Drosophila melanogaster: one gene and its partner. The protein of the gene in region 1 purifies or fractionates together with the protein of each later gene. This does not show direct contact. Each region holds a gene or a part of one and is shown in the gene's direction. Other genes may lie near its edges. The genes, in order: NimB2 and CG10527.

Region 1 (4,707 bases):
CTGTCCGCATGGTCGCTGTTACTTGAACGGCACCTGCCAGTGCGATAAGGGATACGAGCTGGACGGATCGCGCAAATTCTGCCAGCCGCAGTGCAACGCCACCTGTGGCCACAACGAGGTCTGCTTGGAGCCGGGCAAGTGCTCCTGCGCCGAGGGATATACCCGAGGACTGAGGGAGTCCGCCGCCCTGGGATGCCAACCGATTTGTATTCCGGACTGCGGATACGGTCACTGCGTGCGGCCCAACGAATGCGAGTGCTTCCCCGGATTCCAAAAACGCAAGAACGGCATCACCTGCGAAGGCGATTGCTATATGTGAGTGTTAGAACTAGACGCCTCTCCTTTTACATTTAATAATTTAATAAATTTCTTTCAGGACCTGCGAGAATGGCTTCTGTGCAAACAAAACGACGTGCGTGTGTCAGAACGGATATCGATACGATAAGAATACGACGACCTGTCTGCCGGATTGCGGGGACAACTGCGATAATGGGGTGTGCATCTCGCCGGGCAACTGCCGCTGCTTCAAGGGCTACGTCCGGAATCGGGAGCGATGCGAGGCGGTCTGCGTGGGTGGATGTGGTTTTTACGGCAAATGCATCGCACCGAATGTGTGCGGATGCGCCATAGTCCCGGGTCCGGAACGCACCTACCAGCGTTGCGAGTACGGATTGTGCAACGCCATGGGAAGATGCCGCTGCCAGGTGGGCATGACGCGATTCATCGATCGCTGCATGTCGCCGGACACGGTCACCACATACGCCTCTATGAATCCCGTCAAGGTGAACGCATCGCTCATCCAGGAATTCAATCTTCTGCTGGGCAGGCACTTCAACTTGACCACACTCAGCGATATGTGGTGGTTGTGAGTTCGGAGCTCTCACTTTTCCAGCATCACTGAGCAGTCTCTAATAAATATTCATGCATTTCCCAAGACGTTGTGTTCTTATCAGGGGTGTCTGAAATATCTTGTGGCTTCATCTCTTGGGATTTCGCTTTTTTGAAGCAAGTCTAGCTTAAATTGTAAACGTACGTCGAAGATTTGGTACCCTCTCGAAAGTTGTTTCATTTGAATAGGTATTTATTATTTGGTATATCACTTATTTTCTGCATAGTCAACATACCCCACGAATACCGGGTACTGAACACATAATTATCTTCCTAGGAATATAGAACATTTCTATCTCCGTACACTTAAATGCCGCGCTTGACACAGACGACAATTTAGTAGCTCCGAGACACTGGCGAGCATTGCGCTCGCATTTTGATACGACCTCGCCTTCAGCTGAATCCGAGCGAAATGCACTTGACATCCACGCTGATTGGACTCCTTATCTGCGGTCTGGGGATCGAGCTGCCCACGCGCACTGCCGCACAATTCTGGTCGGTGGATCCTGTTACGCAGTGGCGAAAAGAGGCTCTGGCCGAGAGGGGATCCGGCATCTGTTACAGGACGCTCACGTAGGTAAACCATTCCGCACGCCTGACCGAATTTCAAGATCAATTCCCACTCCCAGCGTGGAAACCATCAATCCCAACTCCAGAAATCGTCAGTTCTCCTACTGCTGCGATGGTTATGTGAATAAGGGAACAAGCCAGAACCTGAAGTGCGAGCCCATTTGCTCGGAGGACTGCTCCAATGGATTGTGCCTGGCGCCCGAGGAGTGCGAGTGTGCTCCGGGTTACTATCGGAGTAACAAAAGGTGTCGTTTTGTCTTGGAATAACAAAAATAAATAATATCAATTACAATATTTTTTGAGTTGCTTACTTTATCATTATTTGATCAATACTTCTACTATTTGAAATATTATTAACCTGTTTTTTACGACCATTCATGATTACATAGAAACGTTAAATTTTTTTTTTGAAAAAACCTTCATAAGTTTTAAAGGTTCATCATTTTTATGTTCTGTGCCTTTAAATCTGATATTTCATCAAGAAATAATCTCTATACCTGAAGTCATCGTTGTACGCAAACTTTTCTTGGAATTACCCAAAAGCAATGAGTTTTGTTTACGACTCACAATTTATGGCAATGATCGATTTGCTTTGCCCGAAGCTACTGAGAGCAAACCTTCGCTCCGTTTGCCACATTGATGGGTACATTGGCGAGGTGCTGATTAGAAGGGGGACAAGAGGTTGCCGGAGGCGAATGGCGGCTCAGAGATCCGGAGCTTCGCATCGGGAGCCGATTAGTCGATGTGCAACTACAGTCGCCAGCGGACGTGGACGTGGGCGCATAATCAATTTCCATACGTACGAAATCCGTAATCAAGTGACATCACCATGAGGTCATCATCGTGCCAGCTGGTGACTCTGGGCGTTCTGCTGGCCATCTGTTCCCTGGGTCAGGGACAATTCAAGACGGCTGGCATCAAGACACGGCAGCCGCCATCGGGAAACCTGCAGCTTGCCGGCAATAGCAGTGAGTCGGGATGGAGGAGCTACAACCAGAGCAGCTACGGTTGGAGCACTCAAAACCAGAGCAACTACGCCTGGAACCAGCAGAACCATGTGGAACAGGGATCCGCTGGATTTGTGCGCGCCGAGGTCTTTCAACCGGTCACATTGCCGCCCCTTTATGGACACTACGTGCAGCCGGTGACTCCGCCCGCTCATCGTGTCCAGGTCCTGGATGAAACGGCCCTGTTCATCAACAAAACCAGATCTGCCATGGCCAGTGGTGTGTGCTACAAGGAAGTTCCGTAAGTGATGGGTTAATTTCGGACAAAAAATACTAACAATCGAGAGGAAAACACTTTTATAATTCCACTTAAAGCTATCGCCCAATTCGGAAGGCATTCGAAAACAAGGCAAGCCATAAAAATAGTGAACTAACGACCTCAACTTCCTCCGCTGGCCTGATAATTAAAATGCGCCTTGATTTCACGAGTATATGTGTGCCAAGCTAATAATGTGAATGAATTTAATATGCAACGAGCGGAAAGTCAGTAGATAAGCGAAAAGTTTTTAAATTTAGTTGAATTGACTAGTTTCATTTGCATTCTCTTGGACAATATGTAGTTTAAAACTTTAAAGGACAAAATTATTTTTCAATTTTGACACACATCTTTACTAAGGTATTATTTAGACATGTTGATTATCTGTTTTATTAGTTTCCCTAGGAAAAATATATGTCATTGCATTCATGATTTTAAGTTGTTTAAGTAAACCTAATGTTTTCCTTGTTTATATCCAGAACCGCGTCACTGCTCCGCAATTCGCGGGATCAGTTCGTTGGCAATGGCACCACTCCGGACATGAGTCGCATCCAAGTCTGCTGCGATGGCTATGAGCGAAATCCGCACATCTACCGCCGCTGTGAGCCGATCTGCGCGGATGACTGCCGGAATGGAATATGCACTGCTCCGAATACCTGTGTCTGCATACCCGGCCACGTTCGCACCGCCGAGGGCAAGTGCATCTCCACCTGTCCCCTGGGCTGCGGCAACGGAGTGTGCGACGAGCGGAATGAGTGCAAGTGCCGCGAGGGATACTCGCTTGAGCCGGAGACTCGTAAGTACTGCCAGCCGGAATGCAAGCCCGGCTGCTCCTTTGGACGCTGTGTGGCGCCCAACAAGTGCGCCTGCCTCGACGGATACCGCCTGGCCGCCGATGGATCCTGCGAACCAGTGTGCGACAGTTGCGAGAATGGCAAGTGCACGGCTCCAGGACACTGCAACTGCAACGCAGGCTACCTAAAGCTCCAAGGACGCTGCGAACCCATTTGCTCCATGTAAGTGTGGCCTTTAAAAAACAATGAAATCTGCTTGCGATGTATAGTTTAGATAATTTAATTATTTCCCTATTTCAGACCCTGCAAGAACGGACGCTGCATTGGACCGGACATCTGTGAGTGCGCTTCCGGTTTCGAGTGGGACCGGAAGTCGGCCGAGTGTCTGCCGAAGTGTGACCTTCCGTGCTTGAACGGCGTCTGTGTGGGCAACAACCAGTGCGACTGCAAGACCGGATATGTGAGGGACGAGCACCAGCGGAACATCTGCCAGCCACACTGCCCGCAGGGATGCCAGAACGGTTACTGCAGTGCCCCAAACTTCTGCATCTGCAGGCCGGGATTCATCAAGAGCGGCATCAAGGGACGCCAGACCTGCCAGGCCGTCTAACTTAGACTTTCGCACTTTATTGTTTCGTCTTGGATCAGAAATTAAATAGACGCCCTATCAGGGCATTAAACTCATAAGCAAGTTGGCGATTGAAGTGCTTTCTCTTTTCGCTAGTGTTGAGATGCTGACTGAGGCGGTCCGCCTTCAAACAGCGATCGATGAAGTGGGTTTCCCCCGATGGGCAACTGCAGTGCTCGATATCGTCACAGCTTCCGTTCCGGCAATGCTGTTGACCCTCACCACAGCCGCAGATTTCGGGAGCCACACAACGCCCGTATTTGCCGCAGAATCTGCTGAATAAGCGGAACTTCATGAAGGTGAACACAGCTTTTGCTCCGGGTAACAGACCTCTCACACTTTGGCCGACACTCGGCACCGTGGACCTCGTATCCTCGGAAGCAGCGGCACACTCCGGGCGCAATGCACACCCCATTTCCTTGGCCACAGTTGTCGCTGCACTCCGGCAAACAGCTGGTGGTGTTCACGTCGTAGCGATATCCTTCGCGGCAGTGACACTTGTACCGCGACTCACAGAGCCCATTCTCGCAGTTCCTGGAAGCGATAAGCAAATGGCTTAAATTG
Region 2 (5,088 bases), on another chromosome or scaffold:
TGTGTTATGCAAACTGAGCAATAAAACTAAATGGGAAAGTGTAAACAGATTAAACTTGTTTCGCCAGTTTATCTGAGCAGAATTTTTGGGGGCTCGTCAATGGGAAAAGTGCATTCTGTTGAAAAGTTATCTGAAAGATTAGATATAAATGATGAAATATTTTGACGGCATGCGTTTTATACTTATTAAGGTTAAACTTCAGACGCCTGACTCATAACAAACGAAACAAAGAACAAACTACAACAATGTTTCGCCTAGAGCCTTTAAAAATATTTAAGAAGCCATTTTCCATGCTTCTACTGAACTGACCCAAACAACACGAGTGTAACCTCTTTGTAAAATGATCTAGTACTACGCCACAGTTAAGAACAAATTAAGTCCTTTCCTGAGCAGTGCATTGTTTGTTTACTCGTCTGTCGTCGTGCACAGTATGTGTGTATGTATGTTTATATATTTTTGGCTGTGTGTTCAGCTGTCTCCGTTATAAATACACCAAGTTGCACGGCGTGAGCAATTGATCTACTCTTATCACAAGACAATTTGGCACGGCCACCGGCAGCTGGGAACACAAATAACAATTTGTTTATTTTAGACAATATTACTTCGTGGGGATTTCTGCGCATGCACGTTGTTTCGATATAAATGTAAAAAAAAGTGCGACCAACCGGCGAGACGAAAGAAAACCGACTGACATTGAGAGGCCAAGAAATAAGCAGTGGTGACGTAAAGAAAGATAATCCCGCTTCCGTCACAGGACGGATAAAAAAGCATGGTAAAAAAAAACAGTCTTACCATTTGGCACTCAATTAGAGGGTGACCCCAAAAGTATGCTACCATATGCTGCAACTATACTTTTTTAAATCTACTTCGGCAGCGCAATAAATAAATGATGACCCAATGGGTAATCTTATTATTATTGTTGTCTAGAGTCTAGCACATTATGTCAGCATCAACCATTTTGGACCCTTGCGGTGAAATCATTGACAGTAGCTTTTGATGCCCTGGTTTGGATATCCATGTGACCGCACAATATAAAAGCGGCACATGACGCCAAAATAAGTGACGACACTACTAACGGCAAACGAAGGCGAAACACAAGTTGATCGAATAGAATGTACCCTAGCTGAAATGAAAGTTAATCATATATTTTAGAAGCATTGGAACATCATAGAGTATAGAAGTAAGTCTCTTATACTCAAGAAATTCATTATTTTAAGATCAACCAATTCTTTTAACCAATTTATAGCTCATTATTTAATAGATTTTTTTAGGGCCTTCCTTTTTTGGAATAGGTCACATCATTAAGTGCCTTGCATACTAATTGTACACCTTGCATACAGTAGTAAATAGTAAATATTTATTCGCATAGCGATATGAAAATTATCATGCCCATAGAAAAAGCATTTTAGCAATAAAAGCTTGCTTATGGTTCTGATGACTAAGCAGCAGCTTTTGCCAACCTGAGTCATAGACCTCTTAAGCAAAACTAGGTGACAAAACTACCTTAGTTATACCGAAGCTTACATGCCCTTACCACGAGGTGAAAGTCCAGGGAACAAAAAGTTAAAAAGGAAATTACAATTATCTAATATTGTGCCCATGTACAAAATAGTTATATGTACATTTGTAAGTAAAGAAATTTTTTTTAAAGCTATGCCATTATGCTAGAAATTATCAGCCTTTAATTAAGATTTACATTTAAGAAAAATAATTGCCTTTAAAATAATTAAAGATAAGCCTTAGCATGTGCAGTATACCGCTATGTGAATAAGTTAGCTATTCGAGCTGGTACAGTTCGAATACTTTCTATATGGCCAACGATCTCCCACTTTGCAAGTGAGAGCGCCAAAGCTCTTGGAGCTTTTACTCTCTCACCGTCTCGGTTTTTTAGCATTGCTTACCTCGCCGGCATTTGGGCTCCATTGGGGCAGTTTGAATCAGAATCTCAGTAAGCGAACATCGTTGATTGAAACAGCAATCATGCCAATCGGTGAGTTTCCCAGTGGGTGTGGGTGGAGTGCCCTGAGCAGTTGGATAATGGAATGGATAATTGGGTGAATTTAAAGATAGGGAAATGTGCGGCGGAATTTTTGGCCCACGACCAAAATAGCATTGTGTCGTCCAATTCCTAGAATCGAAACATCCCATTCTTTATCTATGCTGGGTTTTTACCAGTGAAAAATACAAGCGACTTTCACCTTGTGATCGTCCAGATTCAATTAACGGCAATATGCTATACATATTGGACTGCCTTTATTTGGCCTAATTTATGACCCATCGAATTGATTCTCGACCAAAGGTGTCCGAAATTGTTCACCATATGCGATGAGTCACTGGTCTTCGCCTTGAACTCCGACAATAATCAATAGGAATTCAGCAGGGTTGACCCTAGGGAGGTCAGACGAAAGATGCACCTCCAATGATGTCATGCGAAATAATGCTGCTTGAGAAACCATTCGTGTAATCTATTCAAAGTGAATAGCACAAACCTCGCATATATCTGGGCAAATGTTTGTCGCTCGAGTGGCAGTAGAGCCGGCTCAGAGCTCAAAACTCGAAATTAAGCTTGAGTGGAATTAGCTAGAACAATTTGTTGCGAAGAACTGATGGCGATCTAAATGACATCATGCGAATGGTGCTAATAAGCAAGCGAAAACAAAAACAGACGCTAAACATGCTGATATATGTATGTTTATATGTACGTAGAAACCTAACAAACATAAAAATAGCTACGAATTCTTTCCAGTTCAAGTATTTTTTATGACAACATTCTCATGTTTGAGGTTGTTAATTCAAACCTCAAAACTTTCCCACCTTTCAAAGTAGTAGTGGGTACAGTTGGCTCAGAAAAACGTAGCCGAGTGTACAGTTGCCTCTGAGAATTTGTACTAATATGCCATCTCATTTGCAGAAGTCAACACCCCCGATAAGTTGGAGTACCAATTCTTCCCCGCCAGCGGTGGAGTTTTTACCTTCAAGGTGCGTTCCCCCAAGGATGCTCATTTGGCACTCACACCCGCGCCCGAGGAGAACGGTCCCATTTTCGAGATCTTTCTGGGAGGATGGGAGAACACCAAGTCGGTGATCCGCAAGGACCGCCAGAAGCCCGAAGTCGCTGAGGTGCCCACTCCGGGCATCCTAGATGCCGGAGAGTTCCGTGGCTTCTGGGTGCGCTGGTACGACAATGTCATCACCGTTGGCCGCGAAGGAGACGCCGCCGCCTTCCTTTCCTACGATGCTGGTAGCCTGTTCCCGGTCAACTTCGTCGGCATCTGCACGGGATGGGGTGCCAGCGGCACCTGGCTGATTGATGGTGAGTTTACACTCTGTTCCACGCCTTTTCTATCAAACGGAAAGCACAGGTGTTTACCCTCTCTGATTAGTTTACCCATCGTAATGATCTAAGTTAGCTATTGTTCTACAGCTGCTCAATGGCATCTATTGTCTAGTCAGCTGCTTCAGTTTGAATATCGAGTATTACTATACCCGCTACTCGTAGAGTTGGTACTATTGAGTACTGATCAATAACACTTAATTGCTCTCCAAGACTATATCCTTGCTATAAATATGTATTTGCCTATTATATATACATATATGTATAAGATTTGCTAATGATTTCATGAATTTCTAACAAATGCCACTATTTCCTTGCAGAGCCCGCTCCATCGGCTCCCGTCATGGGCTTCGCCGCGCCCACAGGAAGCGGACCAGGATGCTGGGTGCCCGCCGCCAACGGTGAGGTGCCACCCAACGCCCTCGAGGGAGGATTCGACAGCAGCGAGCAGCTGTACATCGCCCGTGCCCGCCATGAGGGCGACCTCATTCCCGGCAAGCTGCATCCCTCCCACGGAGTGACCTACGTAGCCTGGGGAGGTGGTGAGCACGGCCACGCCGAATACGAGGTGCTGTGCGCCGGCGGCGGCCAGTGGTTGCCCGTGGATGCCGGAAACATCCCGCCCAACGCCCTGCCTGCCGGAGAGACCGCCGAGGGCGAACCACTGTTCATCGGCCGTGCCACCCACGACGGAACTATCACTGTGGGCAAGGTGCAGCCCTCCCACGGATGCTGCTACATTCCGTACGGCGGCGAGGAGCTGGCCTACAAGGAGTTCGAAATCTATGTGACCAACTAAGCCACGGATCGAATGTCCAACGCACTGAAACAAAACGTTTTAAATCAGTTAATCTGAGCGCTTTACAGTTCAACTGGTCGCAGAAATTTTATTTTATTTATATGTGCATTTCTACTCAAAACTGTTAAAGAATCTCTATATTATGTCGAAAAGTTTATTACATTGTTCAACGAAATTGGTTAATAAACAATAAATATGTTTAAGAAAATAACATATCTGAAATAGGCACTTATTTGCATTCATTAAGCTTGGAAATAAATATAAAATAAGCTGAATAGCTGCTTTAATTTTTCAAAAAAGTGGTGTGTTAAGATTAGTTGGATTTTGGTTTTAGTGAATCTAACAGTTCTATCGCAATCATTAATCACCTTTTAATCCATTTGTACTCAATGAAATTAGTATCAAACATTCTTTTTTTTTAATAAAATCATGACTGAAATGAAATGACTGAAATCTATAGATTAGTTTAAGCAGGCAATTGAAAATAATTTACTCCCACTCAATGAAAATCTATTCCTAATCTCATTATCAGTGAACCCATAAAACACTCATACAAAGTTAGTTGAAATGTTGGCAGTACAAGGAACATATTGCTATATATATATATATTTATACCAAAACATGTTTTCTTTTATTCATTTTTAAAATGAATGAAACATATCATATTGGCCTATTTACATTTAAATTAAGGGTATAACTGAGTCGGTTTAGTCTATCAACTATATTAAAGTCAGTAACCAGCATGTGAAGTTTTTAGGTCAGCAACTAACCTTTTTATGTTTCTTTGAACACCTGGCTTTGAAATGGCTTTAAAATAATAAAAGTATCATATTTACAGACCCAAAAATACCCTTCTGCCAATGTGAAGCTTATAAAATATAATAGTCTATATTAAATTGGTCTCATTGATTAGAGGTAATAATGTTTGGACACAAGCTTAAGATACTTATCAACT

The links.
Region 2: the proteins of NimB2 (region 1) and CG10527 purify together in Drosophila melanogaster (affinity purification with mass spectrometry, with the first as the bait; one large-scale study listed by BioGRID). This does not show direct contact.

The regions. Positions count from the first base shown.
Region 1 is NT_033779.5:13,964,505-13,969,211, reverse strand, and holds NimB2 (nimrod B2), read left to right. Parts: upstream 1-2,193; 5' UTR 2,194-2,287; coding exon 2,288-2,706; intron 2,707-3,200; coding exon 3,201-3,737; intron 3,738-3,815; coding exon 3,816-4,125; 3' UTR 4,126-4,159; downstream 4,160-4,707. Other genes in the region: NimB4 (nimrod B4), read left to right, coding at 1-315, 377-869; NimB3 (nimrod B3), read left to right, coding at 1,301-1,461, 1,518-1,725; NimB1 (nimrod B1), read right to left, coding at 4,160-4,418, 4,474-4,677.
Region 2 is NT_033778.4:21,069,627-21,074,714, reverse strand, and holds CG10527 (uncharacterized protein), read left to right. Parts: upstream 1-1,925; 5' UTR 1,926-1,980; coding exon 1,981-1,990; intron 1,991-2,819; exon of another isoform or gene 2,820-2,911; coding exon 2,912-3,313; exon of another isoform or gene 3,314-3,654; coding exon 3,655-4,133; 3' UTR 4,134-4,347; downstream 4,348-5,088.